3 linked regions of the Styela clava genome follow. The protein of the gene in region 1 purifies or fractionates together with the protein of each later gene. This does not show direct contact. Links are inferred from orthologs where the notes say so. Each region holds a gene or a part of one and is shown in the gene's direction. Other genes may lie near its edges. The genes, in order: serine/threonine-protein phosphatase 6 catalytic subunit, TIP41-like protein and mitogen-activated protein kinase kinase kinase 7-like.

What was found.
Region 2: the proteins of serine/threonine-protein phosphatase 6 catalytic subunit (region 1) and TIP41-like protein purify together in Homo sapiens (co-immunoprecipitation; 4 studies listed by BioGRID and IntAct, with this or other methods). This does not show direct contact. The link is inferred for Styela clava from reciprocal best matches to the Homo sapiens genes PPP6C and TIPRL.
Region 3: the proteins of serine/threonine-protein phosphatase 6 catalytic subunit (region 1) and mitogen-activated protein kinase kinase kinase 7-like purify together in Homo sapiens (affinity purification with western blotting; 3 studies listed by BioGRID and IntAct, with this or other methods). This does not show direct contact. The link is inferred for Styela clava from reciprocal best matches to the Homo sapiens genes PPP6C and MAP3K7.

The regions. Positions count from the first base shown.
Region 1 is NC_135259.1:10,554,743-10,565,977, reverse strand, and holds serine/threonine-protein phosphatase 6 catalytic subunit, read left to right. Parts: upstream 1-6,728; 5' UTR 6,729-6,869; intron 6,870-7,328; 5' UTR 7,329-7,336; coding exon 7,337-8,254; 3' UTR 8,255-9,365; downstream 9,366-11,235. Other genes in the region: 17S U2 SnRNP complex component HTATSF1-like, read left to right, coding at 1,797-3,365; RNA polymerase I-specific transcription initiation factor RRN3-like, read left to right, coding at 4,524-6,242.
Region 2 is NC_135252.1:7,462,059-7,472,233, forward strand, and holds TIP41-like protein, read left to right. Parts: upstream 1-5,859; 5' UTR 5,860-5,943; coding exon 5,944-6,771; 3' UTR 6,772-7,268; downstream 7,269-10,175. Other genes in the region: AP-4 complex subunit epsilon-1-like, read left to right, coding at 7,326-9,485. UniProt on the Homo sapiens protein: May be a allosteric regulator of serine/threonine-protein phosphatase 2A (PP2A). Isoform 1 inhibits catalytic activity of the PP2A(D) core complex in vitro. The PP2A(C):TIPRL complex does not show phosphatase activity.
Region 3 is NC_135259.1:21,784,491-21,795,643, reverse strand, and holds the start of mitogen-activated protein kinase kinase kinase 7-like, read left to right. Parts: upstream 1-6,244; 5' UTR 6,245-6,434; coding exon 6,435-6,512; intron 6,513-7,059; coding exon 7,060-7,187; intron 7,188-7,816; coding exon 7,817-7,911; intron 7,912-8,789; coding exon 8,790-8,928; intron 8,929-9,076; coding exon 9,077-9,164; intron 9,165-9,833; coding exon 9,834-9,926; intron 9,927-10,198; coding exon 10,199-10,329; intron 10,330-10,692; coding exon 10,693-10,854; intron 10,855-11,153. UniProt on the Homo sapiens protein: Serine/threonine kinase which acts as an essential component of the MAP kinase signal transduction pathway. Plays an important role in the cascades of cellular responses evoked by changes in the environment.

The DNA.
Region 1 (11,235 bases):
AAAGCTTCGATACTTAAATATTGGGTTTAAAGATCTTGAAGATGATATAGGTTCAGTTTTTACTATTTCTGACATGTTTTGGTGTAATTTTTCGAGGTTCCAAAATGTTGAAGAACTCAATTTGAAAGGACTATTAGTACATTTTAATCTACTTGCCACGTCTGTCAAAAGCATGCCCAAATTGAATGCATTATCAATTACTTTGCCAAATATGACCGAAGATCAAATTTCTGGGACCACGAGCAAAGAAATTGACAAGTCAAGTAGTACCAGAGGTATGAGAATTTCAAGAACTCGTCCAGAAGTTAAAATCACCACTGATTTTGCTCTAACACTCCAAACCTGTTCAAATCTCAGAAAATTGGAGCTGATGGGACATTTGAATACTGTTTATGATATCGCAACCTTAAAATGCATTGGTGAACTACAAAATCTTCAAGTTCTATCTCTAATGAATATACACTTGAACAATGTACACAAAATTTCCACAATTTTCATGAACAATTATAAATTGGTTTCATTAACATTGTGTCATGTAGGAGAAGGATCGCTATGTGAATATCCAAGGATTTTGGGAAATGTATTGAAGAATTTACCGAATTTGAATGAATTACGCTTAAACCATGACTTGTTATTGATCACCAAACGTTTGCTAGATTCAATTTGCACTTGTCAGCATCTTGAGAAATTGATCTTAAAATCTCAATCATCTTTATTAGAGCCATCTAGATTTGTTGTTTCTTGTGTAAAAGTTTTAATGTCCAATTGTCCACGTTTACATTTTCTTGCATGCGATATACCAGGTTTTTATCAGTCCACGTATTCCCATGTCAATTCATATCTGAAGGTGTTAGATAAAGCTGGTCGTAAACCCTTAATTTTTTTGAAAGGTGATCCCAAATCTCGAGAGAATCTCTCTGCTGCTAGTTGGCTAAAATTAATTGACTTTGATCAATCAGTGATCGCTAATTACAATGCTTATGACGTCTTGCATAATTTATGAATATATTTCACCTGGGTAGCCTATATGCCGTTCACTCATTTTGTTATTTTTATATGACTTGCTTGGCCTTTATATACATTCATTTCCTTTAAGCTATTATACCTTATCTATTATGTCATAGAACAATCAACACTGTTTGGGATTATGAATTTAATACCTGTATTGCTATGAATATACATAAAAACTCATGAAATTGTTACCATTTATATCTTTTCAACTGCTGCCAATATACATCAAATCTAGCTTCTATACATTTGTTCATATAATTTTATAGACTATTAATCTACTGCTGAAATATCTTCCTGGAAGCCCGAAAAAAAAATATGCTGCTGAAATATAATTTAAAAATAAAAAAAATAGTTACCGGTATATTTCATTTCCCATAGTTATAGCATTAAACTTTCAGCCTGAAAACAAAATATGTTGATAAGATATAATTTTAAGAATAAAGAAAATTTCCCATAGGTAAATTAAAAGCATAAACCCGGATCATTTATTTGTTCTTAGGACTTAGGAGCAGAATGAATTGGAAGTGACATCCTCGGTTATAAAACAATATATTGAAGCTTTTTGTCATATTTTTTTATATCGAGTATGTGATGGATAAATGATTCAATAGATTTTTTAAAATTGAAATATTGTCTATAATTCTGCGGATCACATCCGTTTTGGTCAGTATTTATGCTGGCCCCTTTACAGATAATGTTTCAATATATATAACCTACAAATGCTTCTTTATCATATATTTAGATTACCCTGAATTACATAACTTGTACAATCAATCAACGCAGTCATGGCAATGAATCCTGAAACATACGAGGAATTTCAGAGACAGATAGAACTTCAGAAAGAAGAAAATACTCTGGAAGAAGGCGGGGGTGCAAAGGTCAAAGTTGATGAAGATGGAACGGAGTATGAGTGGGACGAAAAGAAAAAGGCTTGGTTTCCTAAATTAAGTGTCGAATTGATGATGAAATATCAAGAGAATTATGACGCTGGAACAGAAGTAGATTCATCACATAAATTCACTTCTTACACAGATCCTGTAACCAAAGTAACTTTTCATTTCAACTCTGAAACTTCAAAATGGGAACCAGAACATAATGAAAATGGAGAGCCTTGCAAATATACAGATCCAAATGGGGTTATTTATGTATGGAACAGTGACCAAGGCAAATGGGATTTAGAACTTTCAAAAGAACTAAATGGCGATTCAACTAACAAAGACAGTAATAATGAGTCTACTAGTACAAACGAGTCGCAAAATGATAGTAAGACTGAACATACATATACAGATTCGAACACGGGAATACTTTATAAATGGGATTATGAAAAACAACTTTGGGTTTCAGAGGATGGTCAGGTTATGTATCCTTCTGGGCATGGAAATTTTACTACGACATCATACACTGATCCTAAGACTGGAGTGATTTACAATTGGGATGAAAATAAACAAGAATGGGTGGCAGAGAAAAAAGTTAAAAATAAAAAAGAAAATACAAAGAAAGACACCAAAAGGAAAGCGTCTGATCCTACCTGGTTTAAAGTTACGGAAGATAAAAACACAAATGTTTATGTTAGTGGCTTACCACCAGATGTAAGTTTAGAAGAGTTTGGTTCTATCATGTCAAAGTGTGGAATCATAATGCCAAATCCTCATACCGGTAAACCCAAACTGAAGTTGTATAAAGACAAGGAGGGTAATTTAAAAGGTGATGGCTTATGTTGTTATTTAAAAAAAGAATCGTTAGATTTGGCAATGCAATTATTAGATGATACTTTAGTGCGTGGGGGATACAGAATTCATGTACAAAAAGCAAGTTTTGAACTCAAGGGATCTTATGATCCATCAAAAAAACCAAAAATGCTGAGCAAAAAGGAAAAAGCACGACTTCACAAAGAACAAGAAAGGCTACTTGACTGGAAACTAGCAAGAAAAGACGCTGTAAAAAAAAGTGAAAGAGTACTAATATTTAAAAATATGTTCGATCCTAAAGAATTTGAAGAAGATGCTGTACTTATTACAGAAATAAGAGACGATCTTCGCAAAGAGTGCGAAAAATTTGGGGATGTGAAAAAGGTTCTTGTATTTGATCGCCATCCTCAAGGAGTCTGTTCCGTTTCATTTAAAGATTTTGATGAAGCTACAAAATGTAGGGATGCAATGAATGAAAGATGGTTTGCAAAAAGAAAAATTTCTGTTGATCCGTGGGATGGTGTTACGGACTATCAAATCGAAGAGACTGATAAAGAAAGAGAAGTTCGAATAAAAAACTGGGAGAAATTTCTTGTTGAGGATAATAAAAAGGAAAATATGGAGGAAGGAGAAAATTCCGAAGTGAAAAGTGAAGCTGAATCATGAGGTTGTATAATGTTCTTCGTTGAATGAAAATGTAACTTCACTTCGTCACATAAGGGTATGGAAGATAGCTGATATATGCTGCTTGAAATATTGTGTCGTAGTTCGATCTGCTGACTCAAATTGTTAAAGCAGCTGTTGTGACTGATCAGTGAACTATCAATCTGGTTCATTTCAAAACATACCATAATCATATTTCAAAAGTTTGAAGGCCATTGTTATCTTTATCAAAATGCAAAGACATTCAAGATATCAATGTGACATCTATTTCGTGCAAAATCACATCAATATCCATGTTGCAAAGTCTATTCTATGAATTCTTTATTGCCAAGTAATTTAACATATTGAGTTATTTCTTTGTGGAGAAATTGTACAAATTAATCACAACTAGTAGATTAACATTTCTCATTATTCATTTCTCACAATCCTTCAAGTCATTCGGTAATGTAATGTTTCATACAGATTTTCTTGTTTTTGTTTTTGAACTTTGTCACCTGGGTTGACTGTTCTTAATGAAATGGCTCTGCCTTTATTATCACCAGTGATACGGTTACCTCTTGAGTAAATCTGTTGCAATTCTTTGAAAATACAATTGTCTACATACAAAGTTTTTAGGCTATTCATTATTGTTTGCTTAGAGCAAACAGCCATATTATGGCTTTATTGCTAGAGCACTATAGTATGATGTATATTATAGATTCAAACAAACAACTTTGGCACAATAATTGAAAAATAATATATTGTTTTGATATTTAATGAAATATACATTATGAAATTTGATTTTTGAATACTATTACCAGAAATCTATACTGCTTAAAATTCAGAAATGTTACTATTAGATTTAATTTTTAGGTTGCGATTTTGTTGTGTATTTCTTTAAGTTCCATTTTCAGATACAAATTACGACTGCAATGTTATGCTTGCTGAGTGGATGATGTGACCATGGATTTCAAATAACTTTGCTCTGTATTTATGTGGATAATATCACCGCATTTTTGATAATGATTACCGAATATGTGAAGTTGTCCCTTAAAACGTAAACAGTCCAGAATATTATAAATTGAATTTCAATTATCCATGTACTTCTTATATAATTTCTTAATATTTTTTTCCAGATTATACTTCATATTTGATATATTGTACAATCTAAGTTTTTGAATAATGACTGATATGAAGAGCTCCGGTAAAAAGTCTGTGCGATTCGGTGGACATCTAGCTGATGTTATAGAAGAAAATAAATGTGGAATTCCTGAGAATTACATGCTGATTGTACAACAAATAGAAGACCCATTAATCAAATCAAGTCATCTCAGTGAAATGTTGAAACAATTTATTGACATTGTTAATATCCTTGATCAGGATCAAAAGAAATTAGTTCATCGAATGCTGAGCATAAGATGGGTCAATCGAGAAAAAGAAGTAATCGAATTATTTCAGAAATTTCTACTTGAACTTGTTGCTGCCAATTCTGTCCACCAACTCCAAGTTTTGAACTGTCTTATTACTCATTTTATTCCTGCATCTTGCTTGTCTAATCTCACATCGTGTGAGACTTGTGTACCCCAGGAAGAAATATTTCATATTATCCATGGCACATTAAAGAAAATTTTTACCCTTATACCATTGACAACTAACATAGTTTTGCCACTTTTAGTTTCACATTATCCCTTTATAAAAAAGGACAAAGAAGCATTGGATTGGTACATCAAGAATTTGCTTTTTCTGACTACATACCGGGTTAACTTGCGACCGCAAATCTTGGAACTTATCATAAGTAAATCCTTAAAACTAGATACACACTGTCCAAGAGAATCTATAAAGAAATCAATGACTACTGAAGAACATGATCTATTTGAAATGGAAACTGATAATTCAATGAAAAAAGAGGGTTTTGTTGACAAATTGGATATTGTGATGGAAACTCTACTTCAGTTCATACATGATATTTGTTATTCAAATGGGGAGTTATCACTCCAAGCAGACACTCTATTAAAAGAATTAGTCTCCATTTTTGACAAAGTGATTCTTCCAATTCATGATAGCAGTCATATTCAATTCCTAATTTTTTATATCTGCAGTTTTGAAAAATCATTTTCTGAGACTTTTCTCAACCATTTATGGAGAAAGGTTCAAGATCCAAGTGCACCTATGATATTACGACAGACGTCATTGTCATATATAGCTAGCTTTCTTGCAAGGGCAAAATATCTACATTTGAATTCTGTACTGACAATACTAAATGCGATGACTGTATGGATACATTGCTATATCAAAGAGAGAGAAGGTTTATACGACTATATCGGACCTCTACATGAAACTGTACGCCACGGAGCATTTTATAGTGCGTGCCAAGCTGTATTTTATATTATTATATTCAGGCATAAACAGATATTAGACCTTCCAAAAGGATTTGAAATAATGCGCAAATTCAATTTAGAACATATTATTATGAGCCGTCTGAATCCATTGAAATTTTGCATAAGCACTGTGGTTGGTATGTTTTCTTCACTAATGAGACAACATCAACTTGTCTATTGTGACACAATAATAGAAAGAAACAACAGAATGACTTTACCTGTGTGTGGTCAATCAAAAAACTCTGCTTCGGTTAACCCACTTGATTGCTTTTTTCCTTTTGATCCATATTTGCTTAAGAGTTCAAGTCATATGATTGAAGAAATATACCAAGAGTGGGAAGGCCGCGTACCAGAGCTCAAAGATGAATCGAGAGATGAAGATCATCATATTGATAATGAGCTGATGAGTGCAAGCCCTATTTCTATTCCAAGTATATTCTCTCAAGATAAACATTTTATTGACTCAATCAGTGGAAAGTCAATGTCTCCTGGATTTTCATTATTGAACAAGTCATCGTTCTAAGGGAGCTAAAAGACACATTTAGTCAACTCCTATCCTTTTACTTTGATGGAATTTTGTTTTATACAAGTCAGAACTACGAAACAAGTATTCCTGTACATGCATCCAAAGAAAATCTTATTTCTACAAAATTTATAATACTTATATTTTTTGAAGTGAGAAAAAAGCAGTCTTTCAACCCAATCTTTGAAATAAGGTTGGGATTTGATTCTAAGTACAATTTTAATAACGGAACTGGTACCATTAGTTGTATTGTCAAAATATTTGTTCAGACCAGAAATAACACGTCAAAATTTCTGATTTTTTAAATACAAAATCATAAGTAGATTTATTCGTGATAATTTTTTGTGTTGATACATTCATTGTTTCTTTTCTGCTGCCAATGTTGATGATCATTATGTGCCTGTTATGAACTAACTATCTTTTTGTTTTCTTATTTCTCTCCTATTGCTCTCATTAGGTTCTTTTTGTTTTCTGATACAGTTTGAGATTTCAATCACATAATTACTAATGTTTGTTGCATTTTTTCCTGCCAAATCATTGTACAACTTTTTTTTTTGCAGACACTATAAAAATTGAATTAATTTTAGTATTTCTAGCTTTTTCTAGAAGCTTTTTATAACAGACCAGGTAAGTTTCTCGTTCAATTATATTAAATACTGATAACTTTGATATGATCAGGATAAATACTTCTTATTTGAAATGCTGTGGAGATGGAGTCAAGGGAACTCCAAGGCTTCTGAAAAGTCTTTGATTGATTTTTAACAAGAACTTTGACTCTGCCAGCGAACCGAAAAACTGAGGAAAGTTTTGTCTCCTATTACTTTTATTAAAAGTCTGAGATCTTGACTCTCCAAATTTATAATTTTGCTCAAAATTGCTGTGAGTTTAAAATGGCCATACTGACTCCACCGCCTCGATTATTTATATGGCATATACAGCATTTCAAAATTGATGTTTACGACTGTATCTATATCACAGATACTATACATAACTTGATAACGTGTCTTCTGTGAATTTATACTATCATTCATATTTCGTCTGCCAATTGCATTTAGATAAAGACACTACAGTTTATTATGTTTTTAGGTTTTATCATGGGACCCTTGGACCTGGATCGTATGATTGAAATTGAAAAGAATTGTAAATATCTTCCAGAAAATGATTTGAAAAAATTATGTGATTATGTCTGTGACCTTCTACTTGAAGAATCCAATGTTCAACCTGTCTCTTCACCTGTGACTGTTTGTGGGGATATTCATGGACAGTTTTATGATTTATTAGAACTGTTCCGGACTGGCGGAGAGGTGCCAGAAACCAACTACATTTTTATGGGTGATTTTGTCGATCGTGGATACTTCAGTTTGGAAACATTCACATATCTATTAACCCTGAAAGCAAAATGGCCAGACAAGATTACTCTTCTCCGTGGAAATCATGAAAGCAGACAGATCACGCAAGTTTATGGTTTCTATGATGAATGCCAAATGAAATATGGAAATGCTAATGCTTGGCGTTACTGCACCAAAGTTTTTGACCTTCTCACAGTTGCAGCTATTATTGATTCATGTATTTTGTGCGTACATGGTGGTTTATCTCCAGATGTGAAAACCATGGATCAGATTCGCACCATCGATAGGCAGCAAGAGATTCCTCACAAAGGAGCGTTCTGTGATCTTGTATGGTCTGACCCTGAAGATGTGGAAACATGGGCAATAAGTCCAAGAGGTGCCGGCTGGCTTTTTGGATCTAAAGTGACCAACGAATTCGTTCATCTCAACAACCTGAAATTGATTTGTCGTGCTCATCAACTTGTACATGAAGGGTACAAGTATATGTTCGATGAGAAATTGGTCACTGTCTGGTCTGCACCTAACTACTGTTATAGATGTGGAAATATAGCTTCCATTTTGCTTGTTCGTACGCCTGATGACAGAGAAGCCAAACTCTTCAGGGCTGTTCCAGATAATATGCGTGTGATACCTCCCAGGAACACTGCACCTTACTTTTTATAATGTGATTTCGTCTGTCACATCTCAGTATGAATATTATTGGTTGACATTCCATATCAACCTAGCAGAGTGCACTTCAGTTTACTCTGGCGTTTTTATGATGATAGACAATACCCAAAGGATAATATATAGATCCAAGGATGTACTTTGTAATGCACTTGAAGACCCCAAAGTGATAAATTTTGGAACCGCTTGAACATGTATATATGAGTATATTACTTATACAACTCGTTATATATGTTTCAAGTGGATGGCTAGCAAACCAGCTGCCCTTTATCTATTGGCAGCATGAATATGATTGTATAAGTCAAAGTTACAGTGTGTTTTCCTTTGATAACTCTGGATTTTTTATAAAAAGTTCATCATCATATACATTGAAATTATTATCTTTTTCACATAAGAAATATTGTTATGTTATTAGGTTCTCTTTCATCTTGCTCATTAATTCGCTGAACACTCCACAATGTCCATGCTTGAAAGAAAATTTATGACATTGTTTTTCTGTCTTTGATCAAAATATCAAAGCTACGGTAATTCCCGAAATTGATAATTGAAAGTGGAACTTCACAGACGCGAGTGCAAAGTTTTTATTATGATTGTTTTCATTTATTCAGCGAGAGTTGGTCAGTTTCAATGCAGTTCGCCAATTTCTGTCTGATGTTTTGACAGAAAAAAAAATTCCTCAAAGCTTTATTTCCATGCTTCGCTAAATTATCGAATATACATTACCAGTAACTTCTCAGTCCTGGTATTATTTGTTATAACAACTGAATATTGATTTAGTATTGTTTTTAATCATACTTTGCTTATTTATCTTCAAGCTTATCATCAGAGTTATGATTTTCCTATGAATCTTGACTGATTAAACAACTTTTGTAATTGTTAAGTATGGTAATATTATTGAATTAAAAGTCCTAAGATTTCTCACAATATATTTACAAACTTTGTCAACATTAAAGCTTTTCTGTTCATTGCTCTCATATGAGATGCTCAATACATCCATTGACGGGTATTCTACGTGAAAGCCGTTGGGACACAGGTAGCAATCATTCTTAGAGAAAGTTAGAATGTTGATCACAAGCGAGCTATAATTGGAATAAATTGTCAATCGCAATGTCTTGGTTTTTACTATGTTATAATTTATCGATTCTATATGGGCTGGAGAGTTGCGACCAGGATAGGATTTACATAATTATCCCGGGAGAGAGGAAAACCAATAAGACGGCTTAACCATAGTCCATACGGCGAACCACGGCCTCTCGTCCGGTTACCAGTACCATTCCGTGTCGGGTATACGGTTAGTTAGTTATTTCTTTTCGGAAGCATGGACTTTATTGTAGAGGAAGCCGTAACCGAGCAGCGGTGACGTAAACCAGCCTACGGCGGCGAGGAGTCCAGCAATCCTTTCGCACATAATCATCCGGGCATGGAATTCCCACGCAGAGTAAGAACGATGAGTCATACCGCCGCGCCGGTCAGACCAAATCAAATGCCTCATAAAGTTCTACGACTTTACGTCGAGAAAAAGTCCTGCTGAACCCACAATAGTACGGTACCAATATATACGGAATCCGTCAAAGCAAATCGTTTTTTAAAAGCACAATAAAATGAAAGCAAGCACGCATTTTCTTGGAGTCGTTCATATTTACAGAAAAAATTAAATATTTTAAATTCCTTGTCACGAAGCAAGATATGCAATTACTTGCGATAAAAGAATTTATAAATAGAATTTGTTGACTTGACGTTGGTTCAGATATTAATTAACAGAAGATATTTTCATAGGATAGGATTTACATATTTATCCCGGGGGAAGAAATCCAATGGGACTGCTCAATCAGATAGCGAACCCCGGCTTCTTGTCCTGTTACCAGTCCATGTCGAGTATAGGATCAATCGTTTTATTTCCGTTCTCAGATATAAAGCAAAACGACACAAGTAACAGTAAACAGACAAGGTTACCAGTCCATGTCGGGTATGGAATTGGTCATTTTATTTCCGTTCTCAGACATAATTCAAAACGACACAAGAAGTAAACAGGTAAAACAGAATGATGACATAAATGGGAGGCGAGTATAACTTAGGATAAGGTTACCAGCCCACCCTCAAAAAAGAGAGCTATGCTCAAATATATAGACAGGAAAAAGTAATAGCCTCCTAGCGAAAAATACAATCTTTAACCACTGTAAATTTTAAAAAGTAATTGGCCCAGTAGTTAAAGAGAAAGGCGATTTTTTCATAACGTTAAGAAGAAAATACCATGAGAAACAACAACAACGTAATAACAAACGATTCATAGGTCCATTCCGTATCCAATACAAAACAGTGAACGCGATTTAAAATCGGGCAATACTTTTGAAGCAATTTTAAATGAGAAAACAAGTAACAATCAAACCGTAAACCGTAACCCACCAGCGGTTACGTGAACCACCCTACGCGAGAATTCCAGCAATCCTCTCGCACATCATTATCCCCGACGGGATTCGAACCCACGCAGGGTAATCAAAAGTGCGATGGTGAGCATATTCCTCACGCTTAGCACTATGCACCACGCCACCGAAGATGCGGACGTTTGTATTTCTCCGGAGGACCATCTGTGATTTCATGAACCAAAAGTAAATTTATCCAACAAAGAATTTACCGCTTCGCTCGAAGTTTATGGTCAGGAGCCTAGGTAACTTGTAAAGGTCTTGCATACTGACCAACACAATTCAAAGTTTAAATATTCACTGCGCTGTATTTCTATAAAAATCTGTACTATCGTCCTTTTTGGACACGTGAGTGGACCTATGGATGTTGTTGTTCTTGTTGATTTTCTTCTTTTTCTTCATGATAAAATCGCTTTTCTCTTCGAATACTGGACCAATTGCTTTGAAATTTTCACTGGTTAAAGAATGATTTTGATTGATTGAAAGATTGATTTTGAAATTTTCAGTGGTTAAAATATTTGATTGTCAGAAGGCTATTACTTTTATTCATTCCTAACT
Region 2 (10,175 bases), on another chromosome or scaffold:
TTAAGGATAACGAATTAGAAGTAGTCGATTCTTATAAATATCTTGGACTCAATTTTGACCACCAATTAAAGTGGAACACGCACACCTATGAATTGCATAAGAAACTATCAAGGACTGTAGGGATTCTGGGTAAGCTCAGATATTATTTACAGGATTCTACTCTGAGGACCATCTACTTTGCGTTTTTCCAGTCCCGCATTCAGTATGCTATTGCTGCATGGGGTTCTACATCTCAAAAAAATTTGCACAACTTAGAAGTTTTGCAAAATAAGGCTATTAGAATTCTTTCCCGGGCACCTTTACGTTCAAACTTGAACATTCTATACCACAATCGTAGAGTGTTAAAACTACTTGATATCCATTAGCTAAAAAATGCTAAGATTATGCATCAATTCCAAAACAATCAATTACCAGCAGCTTTTGAGCATTACTTTGTGACACTTAGCTCAGTACATGACCACAACCATCGTTCCTCAACAAAGAGTAATTTATTTGTACTTCGCTTTTCACTGGGAACAAAATCTGGAATTAAATGGAATAAATAAAGGGTTAACCAGACGCGATTTTTGGGCGTAATAATTGATGATAAATTGTGTTGGAAACAGCACACAAACCTGGTTCTATCGAAAACAAGGTCGTCTCTTGGTGCTATTACGAAAATAGCCAACAATTTGAATACATCTTGTTTAATATCTCTGTACCACTCTCTGATAGAAAACCATATTCGATATTGTGCCTCAACTTATGTTCATCGCCAAACGTTCATTATCAAAAAAATTCAAAGTGTATGCAACCGTTTTATTAGAAGAGTCTTCTATAGGGGAAGTCAAGAAAAAGTTGATGACTTATTCAAAGAATATAAGCTACTACGCGTTGAGGATTTAGCTAAATTTGAACTATGCAGCATAATGTTCACTTGCTACAATGAGCAACTTCCATCCAGCCTGAACAGATTGTTCAGAGCGAACCCAAATTCAAACAGCAGAAATAAAGAAAAAAAATTATTCCATATGTTAGTAAAAGTATCTCACAATAATCCATTGCAGTATGTGGACCAAAAGCTTGGAATTCCCTACCTAATAGCATCAAAAAATCTAAATCAAGCTCAGAATTTCGTTCCAAACTTATGCAACATTTGTTATCGTCATATTAGCCAAACTCTCTGTTTTGAACATATTACTGTTTCGGAGCTTATTTTTTTAAGGTGAATTGAAAAATGAGGAGACGATTATAGACCATTTGGATTGAAACCACCATCGTGGAACTTCGAAGGCTACCAAACCACAACCCATCAGAGTGCGATTTCAACTCCAAAGGCCACCTCAGCAGGATACAATATGAAACAATGGACTGAATTAATATTTAGATCACCGTTCTAATTCTATTGTCATGCGGAATGAGACAAAGAACAGCAAATTAGGTCTCGGACAGCATATTACATTACATTTACATCAAATTTAAATACAGCCATCAATAGAGTGAATGCTTTTTGTTAAAGTACCATGCTGGGACTTCCTTTCCTCTTATAGGTCATTGCACAAAATGAAATATGTTTTCCCCTTCCCTCACCCCAGGAAACTATACTATTCTATTGTGATTTTAATTCAACTTGGGCACTCCATGACAGAGAAATAATGATTCTTTTTTTAAAGCATCAGCCTTAATTAAATTGTACTTTTATACATTGCTCTTCTTCTGGCAAAAGTGCAATCATGTTGGGTTTTGTTGAAATGCTTTTCATCAAGTTTATTTTTTTTCTGTAATTCTCACCACGTTCGGCTTTAACCTTTAAATAGAACAATAATACATAGGAATTTGATAGCAACACTAAAGCATTTCACCAAATCTGCATGGCTCCCATTTTTTCCGAAATATCTATACTCTATCAAAGACTATATTTATCACTCTTTAGTGGCGCGACCGTATAGGCACTGCACATGTACCTCCTATATTTCGCCCATTCATATTACCGGTATGTGGTCCCACCACTCAAGGGTGCTGTATCTACGCCTAAATTTTTATTTTATCATTATGTATATATGTATTTGGTATATTGTGTTGTCCCTATTTATACATATTGTCTTATAAACTCCCTCGTATAAACAGTTCTGTGTACTCCTCCATTACCACTTTCGGCACACCAACCCATTGCCCCACCTTACACAATTGTCTATATAAGGGACCATATCATATGCATTTAATCTAACATATTTTGTTCTGTACTTGTCAAAAGGGGTGCATGTCGCACATTTGTGTTTTAGGCCAGTACGCTCTTGTCGCTTGTGCATGCGTCCGGTCACCAATATTAATATTGTCAATTTTTTGTATTGCTTACTACTACGAGACTAATAAACATACATACATACACACACACACACACACACACACACACACACACACACACATACACACACAGACCTCTTGAACTTGTCAAGTCACAAAATAAACTACTGACTGCTGATTGACCATTGTCACGAAAAAAACAAGAAAATTGGGGCTTTAGCACCCATTGATTAGTTCCATTACAATGACCATCACAAATATGTCAACAATGACGTAACGATTGAAAGTTGTACAGACGCCCAGACAGATGTTCAAGTATGATTGTAAACGTTGCCTCGTTTTAGTGGGTTTGTATGCTTTAGTTTAGTTGCAAAATTCAAAAATTAGTCCCAAATAAACTACGATCGATCAGGAAAAAATTAGCTATCACCTACCGGTAGGTGGCATGTAGTTGAGTGTTTTTTCAATAAAAATGATGTTTCGAACATGCGGTTTATAAGCGCTAACTCTCCAAAACCATTATTGTATTCAGTACAACCAGTTTAATGTCATTGGTACAACTACAACAAGAGAGCTATTCTCAAATATATGGACACGTAGCGCCACCTAATGACAATAATTTTGATAACGTCATAGCAAAAAAAAAAAAGTAAAAGCCTTCTGAAGAAATTTTTATCTTTAACCACTGAAAATTTCAAAGCAATTGGTCCGGGAATCAAAGAAAAAAGCGATTTCTTCAAAACGTGTCAAAGAACAACATAACAACAACAAAACGATCGTTATGTCCACTAAACGTGTCAAATGGACCGTTCCCCGACCTTTGACCCTCGGAAAATTCTCCCTATACTTTACCATTGCAAAATTGTCAAGGCTATTTCAAGAGTGCTTTTGCGAGTTGGCGTCATTATGATTCATCGCATACAACAATCTGTTTTTTAAAAGTACCGGTAAAGAATTTCAGGCTAGTCTATCACAGCCTAATTTTATTTACTGCAATTAAATTAAAACTCCTAGAAAGACAGAGTGATCATTGAATTATCTGATTTTTATTTAAGTTCCCAAAACACAACTGAAAACTAACGAATAGAGTTCAAAAACGCAAAAACGAGGTAATGTTTACAATCACGCTTGAAAATCTGTCTGAGTGAGAAAAGTGTCTGAGCGGATGCGAAAAGGGGGCATTGTTACGTCACTTTTTGCATCTTGCTGATTGGCCAATGTCACGAAGTAAACAAGGAAGTCCATGCTCGGGGAAAGGTCCATTATGCCAAAAATCTAATCCAATCAGAAACACTCTCAATAAAGCATCTTGGGTCAAGGGTCGGGGAAATATCCATCGATCAAATTCAGTCACTTTGGATCAAATCATATGCTTAGTCTACATCAAGCGCGAGCTTCTTCCCGCTGGGTAAATTTTGTAGGACGAGAATTTTCAGAACGGTACCGGTAATGTTTATCCCGCGCCCAATGTGCGTACGGTATTCTCCATTACAAGGTGCCCCTTTTTAAACCGGTTCTTTTTGTCCGTTTTAGCAACTGCATTTTTAGGATGATACACGCTTTTTTGAGTTTGGTCTATTTTGTATACAGGTACCGGTACCGTATCGTAAATGTAGGCCTATATGGTGAGTGAAGCAGGTCTAGCCCACCTCTTCATGCATCCAACTTGGCAATTCTGATTTGGCATTAGGTGACCCCAACTATAATCAGCTTGACAATATCCCTTGAGAAATATTTTTCCATCCACAGTATATAACTCTTGTTGACTAATTCTGTATCCGATTCGGCCATCCTCATACAATTGTTAATTTGGTGTGGCAAAATAATTTAGCCTATTTATTTATTTATTTTGTATATTTTTCTTTTTACTAAGTAACTTAATTGATTTTGTTTTCTCGCTTCTTTCACGCCCGACCCTATCAATATCATGTCTCAGTCTCAATGATTGTGTGTATGTGTGTGCGTGCGTGCCTTAATTTTATCAATACCTTCCCACCTAAAATCTGTATGCTTTAAACCGTAGGCTACTTGAGGTTTCGTTTGCTCTCCCGATTCTATAACCAGTTTTATTTAAAGTGGGAGTGGTGACTCCCCTATGGGCCGGGGCCGTGGCCCATCGAATTGGACCTCGATCCATCAGGCTATGGGTCGTGGCCCATCAAGTTGTGTAAAGGGACTATTCACTTGGCTAACACAGACAGTCCCCGAACTCATAATAGAACTATAATGTGGAAAATCTGAACAAAATATTGTCCTAACCCTAACCTGGTACACATACTACAGAAGTATCCTTTTCTGTTGCTTGGTATTTTGCTTTATTTTTCTATAAAAGCTTATCGTAAGAAAAAAACTTGGTGGCATACCGCGATTTTTTTCGGTTCGAATATTGACAATTTTGTGAAAATTGAAAATTTTGGTAAGATAATTGAATTCTTCCTGATGAGGCCGTGGCCAGTTAAGCTATGGGCCGTAGATGTGGCCAAATTAGATGGGTCGTGGCCCCATCCCATGAGTCGAAATAAACTTATCCTTATTATGATTCTGAGTGACTCAAGAGTCTCAGGATAAAATTAATGAATTCACAGAAAAAAATACCCTAACATAATACTTACTAAATTATACGGTAATTACTGTATCCAAATTCTTAAAAAACTTATTCCCATAATATTGATTATAGTAAATACAATAATTTTTGTTGGTTATGGGTTTGTTAGCATTCGAGGACAACTTTGATTAGACTACCGGATTGGAGGTGGTAATAACTGAATATTATTGTTGCAATAATGAACAAATTTGATAAGTTTCTTTTTCCTAGTTGCAAGTAAAATTCAACAATTCAACCGTAAATAAAAATGGTTTGAATCCCATGCAGGGATGGTTATGTGCGAGAGGATTGCTGGACTCCTCGCCGCTGTAGGGTGGTTCACGTAACCACTGGTCGGTTACGGCTTCCTCCCTTATCAAGTCCATGCTTCTGTGCTTCTTCTGAAAACAAATAACGAACTAATCCCATCCCATACCGGGCATGGAATGGTAACCGGACAAGAAGCCTTGGTTCGCCATGTGGTTAAGCCACCTTATCGGCTTTCCTCTCCCCCGGGATGATTATGTATATCATTTTTTTATCTTATACACATTTATCAGTACTTGTTGTATTAACAGTTATATACCGGTAATATCTTATATCAGAGTAGTCGCTAGAATAATAGACTTGAGAAATACTGTACCATTACCAAATATATCGACATTATCGTATGCAGGTGCATTCTCGATATTCGCTGTGATAATATTATTGTTTGTAAATTATAATATCATTTTGTTGAAATTGTTTGGAAATTTTTAAAATAGCCTCCATCTTGGGCCAATATCAATATCTTGAGGAAATGATTTTAGTCAAAACTTGTACAATGATAACATTGGAATTGTCCAATATACAGATATAACATTTACATTGGGATTATTTTTTAGGAGTTTGTTCAAATATACGGTAATCAGTAAATAGCTAGTTTCAATAAAGTTCAGATAAGACAAGTTTTAGTTGAGTTTGGCTGAGAGCATAGTATGTGTTGTTCATATTTTCACATATCCTGTTTTACAGATTCTTCTGATTTGTTATAAGTGTGAATGAGGTGCTATTCAATATCAATATTTGTATGATAAATGGCAGCAAGGGCAGGAACTCCGATAGGCCGAAATTTTCAAGAGTTTCATTTTGGACCTTGGACAGTGTCTGCTAAAAAGGGTCCTATATTGAAAAGTGATGATGCTGAAACTTTATCTAGAGAGCTTGAGCTTCCTCAAATTCCTGAGATGACATTTGGTCAAAACGCTATCAAAATCAGCCACACAAACAAATTCAGCATTGAATTTAATGCAATTGATGCACTACGACTTGTTGATAACAAAAGAGATTTGATGAAAGTGGCAGCAGCAAAAGAGTGGATCGAAAGTCGCAAAGATTGTGAATATATTCACCAAACTGTAAAGCCTTTTGATTGGACATATTCAACTAAATACAAGGGCACAATTATCGGGGAACCTGAGCATGTAAAAGTAGAAGAGACAGAGGAAAAAATAAACCTTGAAAAATTGAAAGTCCGGGAAAAAATAGCGTTTTTTGAACAGGCTATTCTATTTGAAGATGAACTTGCAGATCATGGCTGTGCAGAACTAAGTGTTAAAATGAGAGTAATGCCATCATGTTTCTTTGTTTTAATGCGCTTCTTTCTTCGTGTTGATGGTGTACTGGCACGAACACATGACACAAGATTATATCACGAAGGAGGCACAAACTATCTTATTAGGGAGTATTCCGAAAAAGAATGCATGCTAGATGGAAGCAATATTCCAGCAAGTGCGCTTACAGATTCTCATGCCATTGATAAGTATCTTTCTAAAAAGACAGAAATTTTACATAAATTGGTTTTCGATGCAAATGTTACAAATATTTCACAAACTTCTTCCCCATTGTCTACTACAAGTACTTGAAACTCTAAAAAAAACACTAAAAATTTTTGTGTGATATATTTGTGCTGTGTTCGCTTTTAATGGGGTTTTAAATAAGCAGGTCTGAAATTTGAATCATGTCAATATTATGCTGAAACCTAATCCATTTATATTATTCTTGTTACAGATTAGTTGTTGATGTCTAGTTTTTATTTGTTTATCGGCAGTTTTGATAATTTTATTAATTCAAATAATGTTGAATATTTTGGTGATATAGTCCATGGTGCTTTTCAGTATGTTTCAAAATACCATTGACCAGTATAAGACACATTAATTTGGTGTTTAAAAAAATATCGTTATTTTCATTGGATACCATTTTTAATGGCGATCGAATCATATATATAATTTGAATAGACGTGATTATTTTCGTTGAGAGGTGGTAATTTGGTTAAAGTTTAATTCAAAATATGTTTGTAATTCTGTCATATACCGGTATATATATATGTAATTTTGTATTTTTCACATTCTGATTTTTTAGATATTAGTGTTATTTTATAACTATTGTTTATCTCACCACATTCAGTATTTGGTTCAAAATGATGTCATCTATGTTAGAAAAAACCTGGGAACAAACTGTTTCATATCTACGTGGAAGTTCTTCAATTCAATTAAATACTGGAATTAATTTGAAACATCTGCAGCATGCTACTATTGCCTCAAGTAGGAGCATGCACATGCAATCTTACAGGAATACCATAAATGAATGCATCGGTAATATGAGAAGCAAATGTCAAGACATGTATTTAACATTATCTGAGAAACGAGAATGTTTATTAATTGTTATTCAGCTTGGAAATATAAATGAAAAACTGAATTTTGTTCATCCATTCGTTATAAAATGTATTGCGGATTCAAAAAATGTTTTTGATAAAGTACTTGGATACACCGCTCTTGGAATATTAAATCAATCATGTCGATCAAGCGTTTACCTTGCTGTGAATACAATACTCAAAGATATATCCAATAAAAATAGTGCTGTTTCCTGTATATCCCTCACTGCCCTTGCATCTTTTATAGATATAGATCTCATTCCTGTGTTTTTGTCTCCTGTAGAGAAAATTTTGAAGTCTGGTCCTTCACATGTGAGATATAAAGCATTGGTTGTGCTACATGCAATGGTCAGAATTGGTCCGGAATATGTCATCTCAGCATGGAGCATAATGAAACATTGTTTGTGTGATAAAGATCCACAAATAATGAGTGGTTGTTTACCAATTATTGAAACACTGTTAAAAACTAGCAAACCTCCACAAGATGCAAATATTCATGGAAAAATCGTCTTTATTTTGAAACAAGTAGAACAAGGAAGATTGCCAATTAATATGATGCATAAAGGAATATGTGGACCATGGATTCAAATAAGATTGATTCATATTGTTCGTATTTTATCCAAGGAAAATTACAATGAACAACATCTTTCAGATCTGGAGGAGATATTTTCGAAGATATTTGCTAGATTTCAAACTGCAGGCTATTTACAACTGGCTATCATTGAAGAATGTGTTCGCACAATTGCAGCATTACATCCAAAAGTACAAAAATTAGAAAATGTTATGCTGGCTGCCATTGAGACTGCTCTATCCAGTACAGACTTGAATATTTTACTAACTGGTATTGAAGCATTAAAAATTATTGTGAAAATAAAACCAGGTTATTCAAAGCAATACACTAACTTATTGTTGAAAAATTTATCATGCGGTAATAAGTCTCTCCTTGAAGCAACGATGCATTTACTTGAAGATTTAGCAACGGCTGAAGATTGCCAACATATTGTCAGTGTTCTTATGGAAAATGTTCAAAAAGTGAATAATGACAAATTGAGAGAATCTATATTGACTGGTGTTTTAAAACTTATTGAGAAATTTCCTATGGATGAAAAATGGATATTAGAGCATTATCTATATCTCTTGGCCTTCAGTGATGATAGTGATATTTCTTTCGCCATCAATAAAAGAGTTGTAATGTGTTTTTCATGTTTATCTGTGGAAACGATGCAGAACGAAGTTGTGAGATTAAGTAAATCACTTCAAGAACGCTATACAATATCACAGTATTGTACAATTTTGGATATTTTAACGTTTTATCATGAAAAAATATCGATTGAGGATGCCAAAAGAACTATTAATGATATTATGTCAAACTGTCAAAAGAATCGCTGGAAACCTGAATCTTACAGTAATATTTTCATACGGTCACTGAATTGTTTATCTGCTTTATCAGTGCACCATAACTTGAAATTCGATATTAAGGAAGAATTTCCAATCTGTCCTTCTATGCTACAACAACATTATATTGAGACTTATCTTCTGATGCAAAATTCACCATTAACAAAATCAATTTTATCAATTAAATTATCTGCACTCAAAGAACCAAATTTTGATCCAAATTTGTCATTTTTAAATGACTATTCAGAAAAACACGAAGATTCAGTATCATCCTCCAGTGAGGATGAATCTTTTAAGAATCAACTCTCATCATCTAATAATAAAGTTTCGATTTCGATTCGAAAAAAGGAATCTGAATTTTTGGTGAAGCCGTATTCTAAATCAAGATTTGATTCCTCGGTTTTAACAATTGATGAAGATAAAATAAAAAAGAATTTCTTAAAGAATGAGGCAAAAGCATCTTCAAGTAAAACTGGTAATGTATGGGATAAAAGTAGATATAAACTAGATGCTGATGGCACTGAGGAATAATGAATTACTATGTGATGATAGCACAGTCTGAGCATCATAATTAAAATTGTGATTTGGAGTCCTAGAGTTATCTTGTACTTTTGTGTCACACTCATTATTTTATTCAAGTTATAATATCACCACACTTATGACAATACAGTAGAACCTCCACTAGCGAAAGACCCTGAATACGAAATTTCCAAGTTACGGAATGTCTTTTCGTAGAAATATTGCTTTGAATAACCATTTGTTAACAATTGTCAACCATTTGTCTCCCACTCACCGCGGTCTTGGCCTTGTCTAGCTGGCCAACCCCAAAGGTAAACAAACCTATAATTTTTATTCGTTATTTCTCTGTTCTTTCTTCTTTCCATGTGTACTTCTCCATTTATTATGTACTAATCTAAATATAACATATATTTGTTAGAGATTTTAGCCATTATTTATAATTTAAACTAATTTAATTTAAGTTTTATGGGGGCATAGAAGAGATAAGGGCATTTATAGGGTAAAATATGTCCAACTTACAAAATTTCTTGCTTACGAAACGGCTCCCGGAACGAATTAAATTTGTAAGTAGAGTTTCTACTGTATTGTTAAGTTTGGACGTGGATTACTGGAACACATATTGACAAACAATTGTCCATGCGTCTATATTGCATCCTTCATAAAAAAAAGTATGTCAAAAAGTCAGTTATTCATACACATATT
Region 3 (11,153 bases), about 11 Mb from region 1:
TTTATTAGTATAGTAATGAAAAATTAGTCTAAAAATAGCTGTGATAAAATAGGCTAAAATTCTCTACCGGCACGCAACATTTTATAAAATGTTTAAGAAATTATTTTATAAAAACGGTCAAGAAATAACGGAGTTTTAGTACCGCCCGACAGGCCAATTATTACCATGAGGATTGTATTACTTTTTTGATAAGAACTGTAATAAATATGAAAAAAGAACACTTATCAAACACCAATCTTTCGATGTGCGTCACATCGTTGGAATATTGAGACTATTTCAGGATTCTATTCTGGCAACGGTCATTGGCACCGCCACCGTCGCAAATAAACGCTGGAGTTGTGCATGATAGTTTGACAGTGGTTAATTGTGGGTAATAATTAACGATGTTCTGATTGTACAAACTTCATAAAAATTGGTAAGTATCAAGCTAGGCACGAAATACACACGTCCATATAAATTTTATTGGTGTCCATAGACACTATCATTAATTTGCACTACGTATAACTGGAGCGTAATTTTCAGAAGCTCCGAATGTTGGGATATTTTATGCGCTAATGAAAAAATTCAAATACCAGATAATAGTTATTTATTTTATCTAAATTATGTCAATTTCATGGAATTCCAAGATACAGCAGGCAATCCGTAGTCGTTTTCATGAACGGTATTCCAACACGGCGTAACGGTAATAGTCAGACGTGTTGCGTACATTTTTTGGCGCGAAAAAGCAGATTTTGTAACATTCCTAATTCATGACAGCAACGTTCTAATAACAGCTAAACTCAGGATAGTTGTCTAGATATAGAAATCTTGTATATTTGTTTTCATGGGATGTTCTCGATCTGTATTCTGCGATATAGGTGGAATTTAATATTTAAGTCTTCAGAAATGTAGAATTTATATTGTTGAATGAATTTCCCAATTTTATTGCATTGACAAAAATATTCATCCGGCCCGTTTCAACATAGTTTGAGTCATACCCGGCCCGCGGTCAAAAAAGTTTGGTGACCCCTGGCCTAAGGTATTACATCTGTCCTAAATCTAGAACATACCGTGTATGTTTACTATAACCATTTGCTTAACTTCTTATATCTATCCCAACCTAGAACATATCATAAATTCCACTTCATATGCTTACTCTAACCATTTGCTTAACGTTTTATATCTATCCTAACCCAGAACATACCATGAATCCCACTTCATATGCTTACTCCAACCATTTGCTTAACGTTTTTATAGCTATCCTAACCCAGAACATACCATGAATCCCACTTCATATGCTTACTCTAACCATTTGCTTAACGTTTTATATCTATCCTAACCCAGAACATACCATGAATCCCACTTCATATGCTTACTCTAACCATTTGCCTAAAGTTTTATATCCATCCAACTCAGAATTAATCTAACCATTTGGTTCAAGTTTTATATCTATCCCAACCTATAACATACCATGAATCCCACTTCATATGCTTACTCTAACTATTTGCATGAAGTTCTATATCTATACCAACCCATAACATACCATGAATCCCACTTCATATGCTTACTCTAACCATTTGCATGAAGTTCTATATCTATACCAACCCATAACATACCATGAATCCCACTTCATATGCTTACTCTAACCATTTGCCTAAAGTTTTATATCTATCCTAACCCAGAACATACCATGAATCCCACTTCATATGCTTACACTAACCATTTGCCCAAAGTTTTATATCTATCCTAACCCAGAACATACCATGAATCCCACTTCATATGCTTACTCTAACCCTTTGCCTAATGTTTCATATCTACTCCAATTCAGAACATAACACGAATACTACTTTGTATGCTTATCCATGAGCCCAGAACATTCATGCATCTTCTCCGATATGCCATTTCTAACAATTTACTAAAAGTTCTGAACTGCAACAGATTTACGTTATATGCTTATTTACGTTGTACATGAAAATGGTCGAATTAAATAATAACTAAAATAGCAACCAAAAACAGACAAATTAGAAAACATATTTTTTCTCCACGAAATATATAAGCTTTCGCTAATTGATAGTTCCACAATATGATATGACCTAATCAAACAGCGCTAACTAAAGCTAACAAATATACCGGTACTTTGAAAAATAACAAGTTTATCCTATTTATTTAGGATTTACATATTTATCCTGGGTAAGAGGCTTGATAGGACGACTTGACCATACGGCGAACCGAGGCCTCTCGTCCTGTTACCATTCCATGTCGGGTATGGGATTAGTTAGTTAATTGTTTTCGGAAGCATGGACTTGATGGTAGAGGAAGCCATAACCGACCAGCGGTTACGTTAACCACCCTATGGCGGCGAGGAGTCCAGCAATCCTCTTTCACATAACCATCCCTGCATGGGATTCGAACCCACGCAGAGTAATCAGAGGTGTGGTGGCGAGCGTATTCCTAACGCTTAGCACGATGAGCCACACCGCCACGCCAATATATATTTATCTCTTCAATACAGTACTAGCCTGCTTGCCGGTACACAAGCACAGCTGTACTTCTCCCTTAAGAATAGAGATGTACATATTCAACCCGCATGAAAGCTTCCGAAAACAAAACAATATAACTAATCCCATACCCGACTCGGAATGGTAACCGGACGATAGGCCGTGGTTCGCCATATGGATAAGCCGTCTTATCAGCTTTCCTCTCACCCGGGATAAATATGTAAATCCTATCCTATCCAAAGTCAATAAATATATGCCGAACCACTGTCTCTTGTCTGGTTACCGCATAGTAGAGCTCGACCGATATATAGGGCCGATATTGCGTGTTTGCCGATATATCATATCAGCCGATATATATCGGCTAGCGCCGGGCTGCGTGCCACAACGGCTCTCGCCCCTGTGTAACTGGTTTCTCAATATTCCTCTCGCTTTCATTTTGCGTTATGAAGGTGTCTCTCCTAATTCCCGGTGTCTTATGATTAGCCATTTCATGCATGGTCATAACTGAAAAGTTGTAACAATGACGTTTCATAAAGTGACGTTTTTGAGAGAGTACACAATGAGAGAAAGGCAAACTTAGTAACAGCATTAAACGGTGGTTCTATAAATAGAATCGATTGGAAGCTGGTGAGTTAGTGATCATAGAAACATGGCACAGGTATCTCAAAGCAATAATGTCAGTTCCGAATTTGTGACATTCCCAAATTCAATTTTGAATTTCTGGGGTAGCAGTTTTGTTTATATTGATGGTTGTTTATCATTTTGCTGAAAATTACAAAATAAAAACCTAATTCATTATTATTGACTAAATAAGGTATTGAGAGTCTCTGGAAACAAAGTTATTAAAAATTCCACATGTAACTGAACATATGCTATCACAATATTGAAGAAATTTATCATTATCACGATTCACTTTGAAATATATCAATTTATAATTTTTTAATACCCTTATTAACATGTGTCCACAGTTATATTTAAAAACGTCAGATTAACCCTTTCCGTGCGGTGGGCACGTATACGTACCAACGACAAAGGTCGCTAGATTGCGGTGGGTACATTGATGTACTCCACTGTTTTAGTTAGCAATCGGTCGCAAACTGTTGGTCTAGTTTTTCCAGGTTTTAGTTTATTGATAAGAAGTCTTCTTCGAGATTAACATAAGCGACGGTAAATCTCGCTTTCGTTTACGACGGGAATTTTATTTGCGGCGGAACGAGAGAGTGTTTCTGAAATTTATGCAAATTTCGGTGTTTTTTGGGTGGTAATAGAAGACATATTATCCCTTCCATCTACCAAAGTATTTTGAGCGAATATTTCTATTTTTTATTGTGGTTTGAAGTTTCAACTCCTACGAAAAAAAAATGCCTTTTTTCTATCCGGTTTGTGACTCAGACCACCAATTTTAGAAAAACTTTTTTTTATAATTGCCAATTGAAAGCTCTTTAAATAAGCTTTCCAACGAGCCGTCAGTGGGCAGCAGAGGATCATTAGTTTTTCGTTAGTCGATCGATTAGTTGTGGGGGTACAAATGCATAAAATCGGCGTAGCAAATACGATTATTTAATAAAAAATAAAAATTGCACGGAAAGGGTTAACAATTCTTTTTCCTGGAAATAGCTAGACTGATATTGAAGTAGCAGGACAAGTTACAGAATAACATTTGTTCGAGCATTAACTGGAATTATTTAAATAAAAGTCTCAATGCAATGATAATAAAAATCAAAATACAGACTCACGAGGTGCTTCATAAAAGCGAGGCTCAAAATATGATTTATATTAATATCGGCATAGCGATATTGATTATACGCTACCGGTTGGCCGATATATTGATATCGGCGACAAGAAGTAATATTGGTCGAGCTTTATCACATAGGATCAGTATAATCATGACACGACCCATTGGATAGTTCAAACTGGTACGTCAGATGCTGCCACAACCAAACTAAAACCAAATTGATATTTTTTAGATAAAAAAAAATAGCTCATAGAATTTGTTGAGATTGCGATTACGTGGTCCAGTCCATAAACCTTGTCCCCCCCATAGTATGACCGGTCACTTGTTTTAAGGTGCAAGGTGCATGAACTTGATGGTGGAGGATGCAGTAACATATGCTGGTATCCTATCTAAGTGCCCAATAGATAAATCCCAAGTTAACAGCAGACTACAGAACTTCGGAACTCGCATGAAAACTATATCAAATACTGAGAAATCACTCACGCGATGTAGTCTACGATGCAAAACGTTCTTGAAGTAAATCTCTTATACCGAGTTTATGTCGCTAATATCCAGCTGATTAACACCCCATTTTTTGCATTGCAAAGACTTTATATGAACAATAATTTTTCATATACCAGTTTACCGATTCTCGTTTCACCAATTCTTCTGACCACCCACAGCCAGAAATTGTAAAGAAATGGCGCGCTTCACAGACGCTTCGGCCGCCAAAAATGTCAATTATGACATCATATCCAACTACCGAAGCGTGTAATATGAGATTTCAAACTGCGGTACCTCGAATAAAATACCGGATGGGGCCGCCAAAAGCACGATATTAATCTATTTGCTATATGTAAATGAAATATTGAGATCAAGCAAATTATAAAATGATTTAATAAGGATTCTACTCGGCCTTTTTGTGCGGTTAGCTTTGGGGCCGTAACTTGCAGTCGCTTGTAATACCCTCATCACGTTAATATCGAAGGAATCTTCTGAAATAGGATGGTTTCGATTTTTGTTTCAATTTACCGTAGAAAAACAGCGTTTAACAGCCTTAATTAATATAGGTTAATTTATTTCTAAGGTAGTGACGGTGCATATCAGCGAGAGTCAACATTCTACACTAGCAATCGTCAAACTAACGCGGCGGTGTGGCTCAACGGGCTAAGCGTTAGGAATACGCTCGCCACTGCACCTCTAATTACTTTGCGTGGGTTCGCAGGTTCGAATCCCATGCAGGGATAGTTATGTGCGAGAGGATTGCTTGACTCCTCGCCGTCGTTGGGTGGTTCACGTAACCGCTGGTCGTTCCTCCACCACCAAGTCCTAATAACCATTAACAATAACTAACTAATCTAATACCCGACTTGGAATGGTAACTGGACCGAATGGAGAGGCCGTGGTTCGCCATATGGATAAGCCGTCTTATCGACTCTCCTCTCCCCAGGGATAAATATGTGAATTCTATCCTATCCTCATAATCATATCAAAATCTGAAACATGAAAAAGTTCACGTAACCGCTGGTCGTTCCTCCACCACCAAGTCCTAATAACCATTAACAATAACTAACTAATCTAATACCCGACTTGGAATGGTAACTGGACCGAATGGAGAGGCCGTGGTTCGCCATATGGATAAGCCGTCTTATCGACTCTCCTCTCCCCAGGGATAAATATGTGAATTCTATCCTATCCTCATAATCATATCAAAATCTGAAACATGAAAAATTTCGTGCAATGTTTTTGAAGAAGTTAATTTAGAACTGATGTAGTAGGCAACATCGGAAATAAAAAATAAGTATGTGTGCCAGGTTGGTTGGAGTAACCGGACGAGAGGCCGTGGTTTGCAATATGGTTAAGCCGTCTTATCGGCATTTCTCTTCCCAGGGTTTAATATGTAAATTTTATCCTATCAGCTTGATTCATTCTCAATTTTCATGTTATCGCTACATTTTCCATTTCATACGCTTGGGATCAGAAGATAATCGTTGATCACCAAATGCGACTCCTTTCACATCTTAAGTAAAATATTTGTCTTGAATATGTTGGAGAAATTGTGTGGTTGTGTTGAGTTTTATCCTATTTCTTTGCTGATGTTCAGTCACCGTACATGGGAGCGTAGGTAAAAAGTACTTAGTAAAAAAGAGAAATAAACATTCGAACCAGCTTAGGTGGCGGGTCGTCCAGGTTTTCTCTTGTATGTGGCACTGGTTGCAGCGAGGTCGAACAGCTGAGCAGCGATGGCTCATGTCGTATATGCGGAATCTCCGCCTGGATTTATTGAGGAAATAAAATATGAAGAAATGAAATTGGGGAATGTGAGTATCCCGGTTTGCTAAGTTGGTAAAACTTTATTTCTGTGATTGAGAAATTCTAAATCATTTTTAATGTGAAAATAAAAGTATTATTCACAGTGGGGCACAGTTCCCTGATTCCAAGATGTCCCGAACTTTGCTTCAATAAAACAAAACTCTATTGGTCCCTGAAACGAAGATGTCTGGCACGACAACACATGTGTCAGATTGTGTTGAGCTTGTCTTGGTAATAATTTGTGACCAAAATTGCTTTTACTTGCTAAAAACTTTCGAATGCTTCGGTAAAAGATTTTTTCCTCAGATAGATTATTAGATTAGATTATTATATTTTCAAGGAATCCAATGGTGATGTTTTTAAATTGCACTTTCTTTTAGTTTAGTTTATTGTGTTTTGATTCGATATGGAGGCCCAGCCTGTCTCGTAAGGGAAGAGTTTGCACTCACTGTTGTAATTGATGTCTTTCATGTGCGGGCTATTCTTTTAATCAGAGAACTGTACATTATGGTGTCCATCCGCATCTTCATATTCCGTTTCATCTTTACTTTTCAGACGATTGGCAAAGGAGCTTTCGGCGTAGTTTATGAAGCTGTTTATCGCCAACATCCTGTCGCTGTGAAGAAGATTGAATCTGAGAACGAACGTCGAGCCTTCATTACAGAATTGAGGCAGCTCTCAAGGTTTGATTTGGCATGTTATTCCAGCACTTTATATAACTTACATTGTTTCTTATATTATATTTATATGTTATTGTGTAAATTAGCTTTATTGCACAACTCGTTTTGATCGCAAATTGATCTTCAAAATTTCAAAAAAGATTTTGAAACCCCTGACTCAGACTCATGAAATATAAATCTTTAATGATGCCATGTTTATATCAAAAATCTGAAGTGCCCGAAAAGTCATAACTAATATGATTAATAGGTCCTGTGATTTTATTAACCAATTACCAAGTTTAGTGCTGTAGATATGAAAAAAACAGTATGAAACAAAATAAACACAATGCACATTAATATCCTCACATACAAGCCGACCCATTAAAAACGATCTCAAAATGGTGAATTTATAAAAATTCTCATATATACCGGCCCTACCAATCGTAACATTCCGTACGCTTAGCGCGAATAGAGTTATGCGCGTACAAGCCAGGTTTTTAGTGCGATCAAAGTTATGCGGCTTTAAGGTGACCCCTTAGTTTGTTTGGCAACTTTCTTTTCGTATCAAACTCTGCTTATATGTGAGGATATGAGTAGGTTTGTTTCATTGCGATTCTGACTATTCCCAGCCCTAATCGAACTATTATTTCCAGAGTTTCACATCCTAATATCATTCGTCTGTATGGTGCCTGCAGTAACCCTGTGTCTCTTGTTATGGAACTGGCAGAGTGTGGATCTCTGTATGACTGTAAGTAAAGTAGATATAAATTGGAAATTCAAGTATTTGGAATTAACTGTATTCGATGGGATTTATATTTTATAGACTTGAAAAAAAAATTAAATTTTTCATTTAAAAGTTTGCCATGGTAATAATTGAAATATGCCAGATAGACAAGCCAGGGTTGTACAACTATTTTTCTGAGTGGGCCAATTATTGACAATAGACTTGGTTACCGGGCCCGAGGCACAAGATTTAATATGAAAACCTATGAATTGAAATAAGTTTTTCACAACAGCTTGGCTAACGTTTATGTGATGTAAGAATCAAGGCCAATATAACGTTATTTTCATCAGAAATTCATAATCATAAAAACTATAGTCGTTGAAAGTTGAAAAGTAATAATATAATGTTTATATTAGCATTTTAGCTTGTTACCTATCGATTTTAATCGGTAAGTATGTTGATAGGTATTTGTCTGTCTGTTTTTCTGTCTGTCTGTAAGATACACGCGATATCTCACGAAAGCGAGATTGAATCTGCTCCAGATTTTGCATGTGCATTCATCATATGTTGTACCAGAAGCCTATTGATTTTGGATGAATTATGTTGTATAATTAGCGAGTTATTAATTAATTAGTGATGGGACACAAGGTGTCACTATGGAGTAGGAGCGCTGTTTTGGGGGATCCCCTAACTTTCGATCGATAAGTCTTCGGTCTCTGACCGATATTCTCGTTTAACTGTTGGTTTGAATCTATGGGCTTCCACAGACACAATTGATCTTTTTTACATGCCCATAGATCAATCAAATACCTGTTACTGTAGAATAAAAAAAATAAAATTTTTCATTGCAAAAAGTATGTTTGGCACCTCTATATAAACTAGCATAATTCTATACTTTTCAGTGCTGCATGGGGCAGGGCCTCTCCCCCACTACACCGGGGGCCATGGGATGAGTTGGTGTTTACAATGTGCAAAAGGTGTCGCTTATCTTCATAATATGAAACCAAAAGCTCTGATACATAGAGACCTGAAACCCCCAAAGTAAGATATTTTTTTTTTCTAATTATTTCTCCGAGTGATGACGATGAATGAGGTGCTGTAATGTTCGAGAATCACTGATTTAGGCCGCATACTCCAACTTGAGAAAATCCTTTCAAACAGCTTTGAATCCTATTATTTTACTGTTCAGTTTACTTCTGACGAACCAAGGACTCGTTCTGAAGATCTGTGACTTTGGCACTGCCTGTGACATTCACACACAGATGACTAATAACAAGGTAGGGATTCATGTATTTTCATTATGAGATGGGTTTTGTGTTTATCCCCATTGTGAGGGAAATATGAGAGGAAGCCTAGTCATAGTAATCTGTGCGCAACTGGTAATAAGCAAGCGATGTTGTCAGCTTTCCAGTTTCACATCGCAGCCAAACCAATAACAATTTACCATAAAATCTTAAAACTTGCTCAGAGCTGAGTCACTTTTACTTTGGAGTGAGCGAGTGTATCTTTGTCTAGAGATGATTCTCATTTACTTCTGACACATAACTTAGTGCACGTAACTTTGCTCAGAGAGGATTCTCATTTACTTCTGAGTAAGTGCCCATAACTTTGCTCAGAGATGAGTCTTCTTTGCTTCTGAGTGAGTGAGTGCCTATAACTTTGCTCAGAGATGAGTCTTCTTTGCTTCTGAGTGAGTGAGTGCACGTAACTTTGCTCATAGATGATTCTCATTTACTTCTGAGTGAGTGCTCATAACTTTGCTCAGAGATGAGTCTTCTTTGCTTCTGAGTGAGTGAGTGCCCATAACTTTGCTCATAGATGATTCTCAATACTTCTGAGTGTGTGCTCATAACTTTGCTCAGAAATGCGTCTTTTTAATTTCTGAGTGAGTGCCCTTAATTTCATTCATAAAAAAATTAAAAGTATCAAACCATTCTTTTGCACAGGGTTCAGCGGCATGGATGGCTCCTGAAGTATTTGAAGGATGTCAATACAGTGAGAGATGTGATGTCTTCAGCTGGGGAATCATACTCTGGGAGGTAGAATTTGGATTTTGCTCTTTTTTTTGTGCCACAGTTTGAATAAGTATAGGGAGAGTTTAAAAGTCGTTTTCTAAGCTTCAATTCAAACAATGCAATGTACATTCAGCAACTGGGAATGAGAATTTATTAGTTTTATAAGGACCAAGATCTGACTAGTTCTGCTGTGCCAACGTGTAAAATCGGGTGCTCTAACTACTCGGATATTGTGCCCATGGTTATGATATATTCTTTCTCTTTAAGTTTTTTCTAATATACAACATTGTTGACAGGTCTTAACTCGAAGAAAACCATTTGATGAGTTGGGAGGTCCAGCATTTCGCATCATGTGGGCAGTTCATACCGGTACGAGGCCGCCATTAATACAGGGATGCCCAAAACCTATTGAGGAACTAATGACAAGGTGGGTGCGAGTTTGCTATAAATTTTCACAAAACTTCAAGCATTAAGTTTACTATGTGGTCCTGACAACAGTCTATCAATAAAGGTTTGGATATTTCAATGTGTTTGTCACCAAAGTTTGATTTTCTCCGAGTCAAGTTCAAGAGAAGATATTTTTTCTCAAGTCTTGGTTGATGGTAAATTATCTTTGACACCACAGCCCTGCTCTAGTAAACCATAGAAAACATTTTATGTAGAATCCATTTTTCAGGATTTTTAGGTACAGAAATCAAAATATCTGGCTACAAGATGTTTTCCATACTATTCAGCTTTAGTTGAGTCTTTTTTAAATTCAATGAAAACCTAATATTATTTCTTGTTCCAGATGTTGGTCAAAAAATCCGAGTTCCCGTCCAAGTATGAATGATGTTGTATATGCAATGACAGAATTGATGCCGTATTTCCGTGGTTCTGATGTTCCCCTTGTATTTCCACAATACTCTGACAGTGATGAAGAGTCTGATTATTATGAAACCGGCAGTGACAGGTGAACACTGAATATTTCTATATATAATTTGATCTCATATTTATCTCAGGGGACAAAAAAAGATGGTGAATAGCTTGGGTGAAATTTGTTGGGTGCCACTGCGCTATGCCGACTAGCCCACAAATATTAGCATTTTTATTTAAATGTGCTCAGCGCCATGTGACAAACCGTCTATTCTACATTCCATGTTTCTTGTACTGCTAGATATGGACCTGTGTCACAAGGATGTTTGATAAGATATAGAAAAATAACTGAATACCTATTCCCATACCCGACATTGGTAACCGGACAAGAGGCCG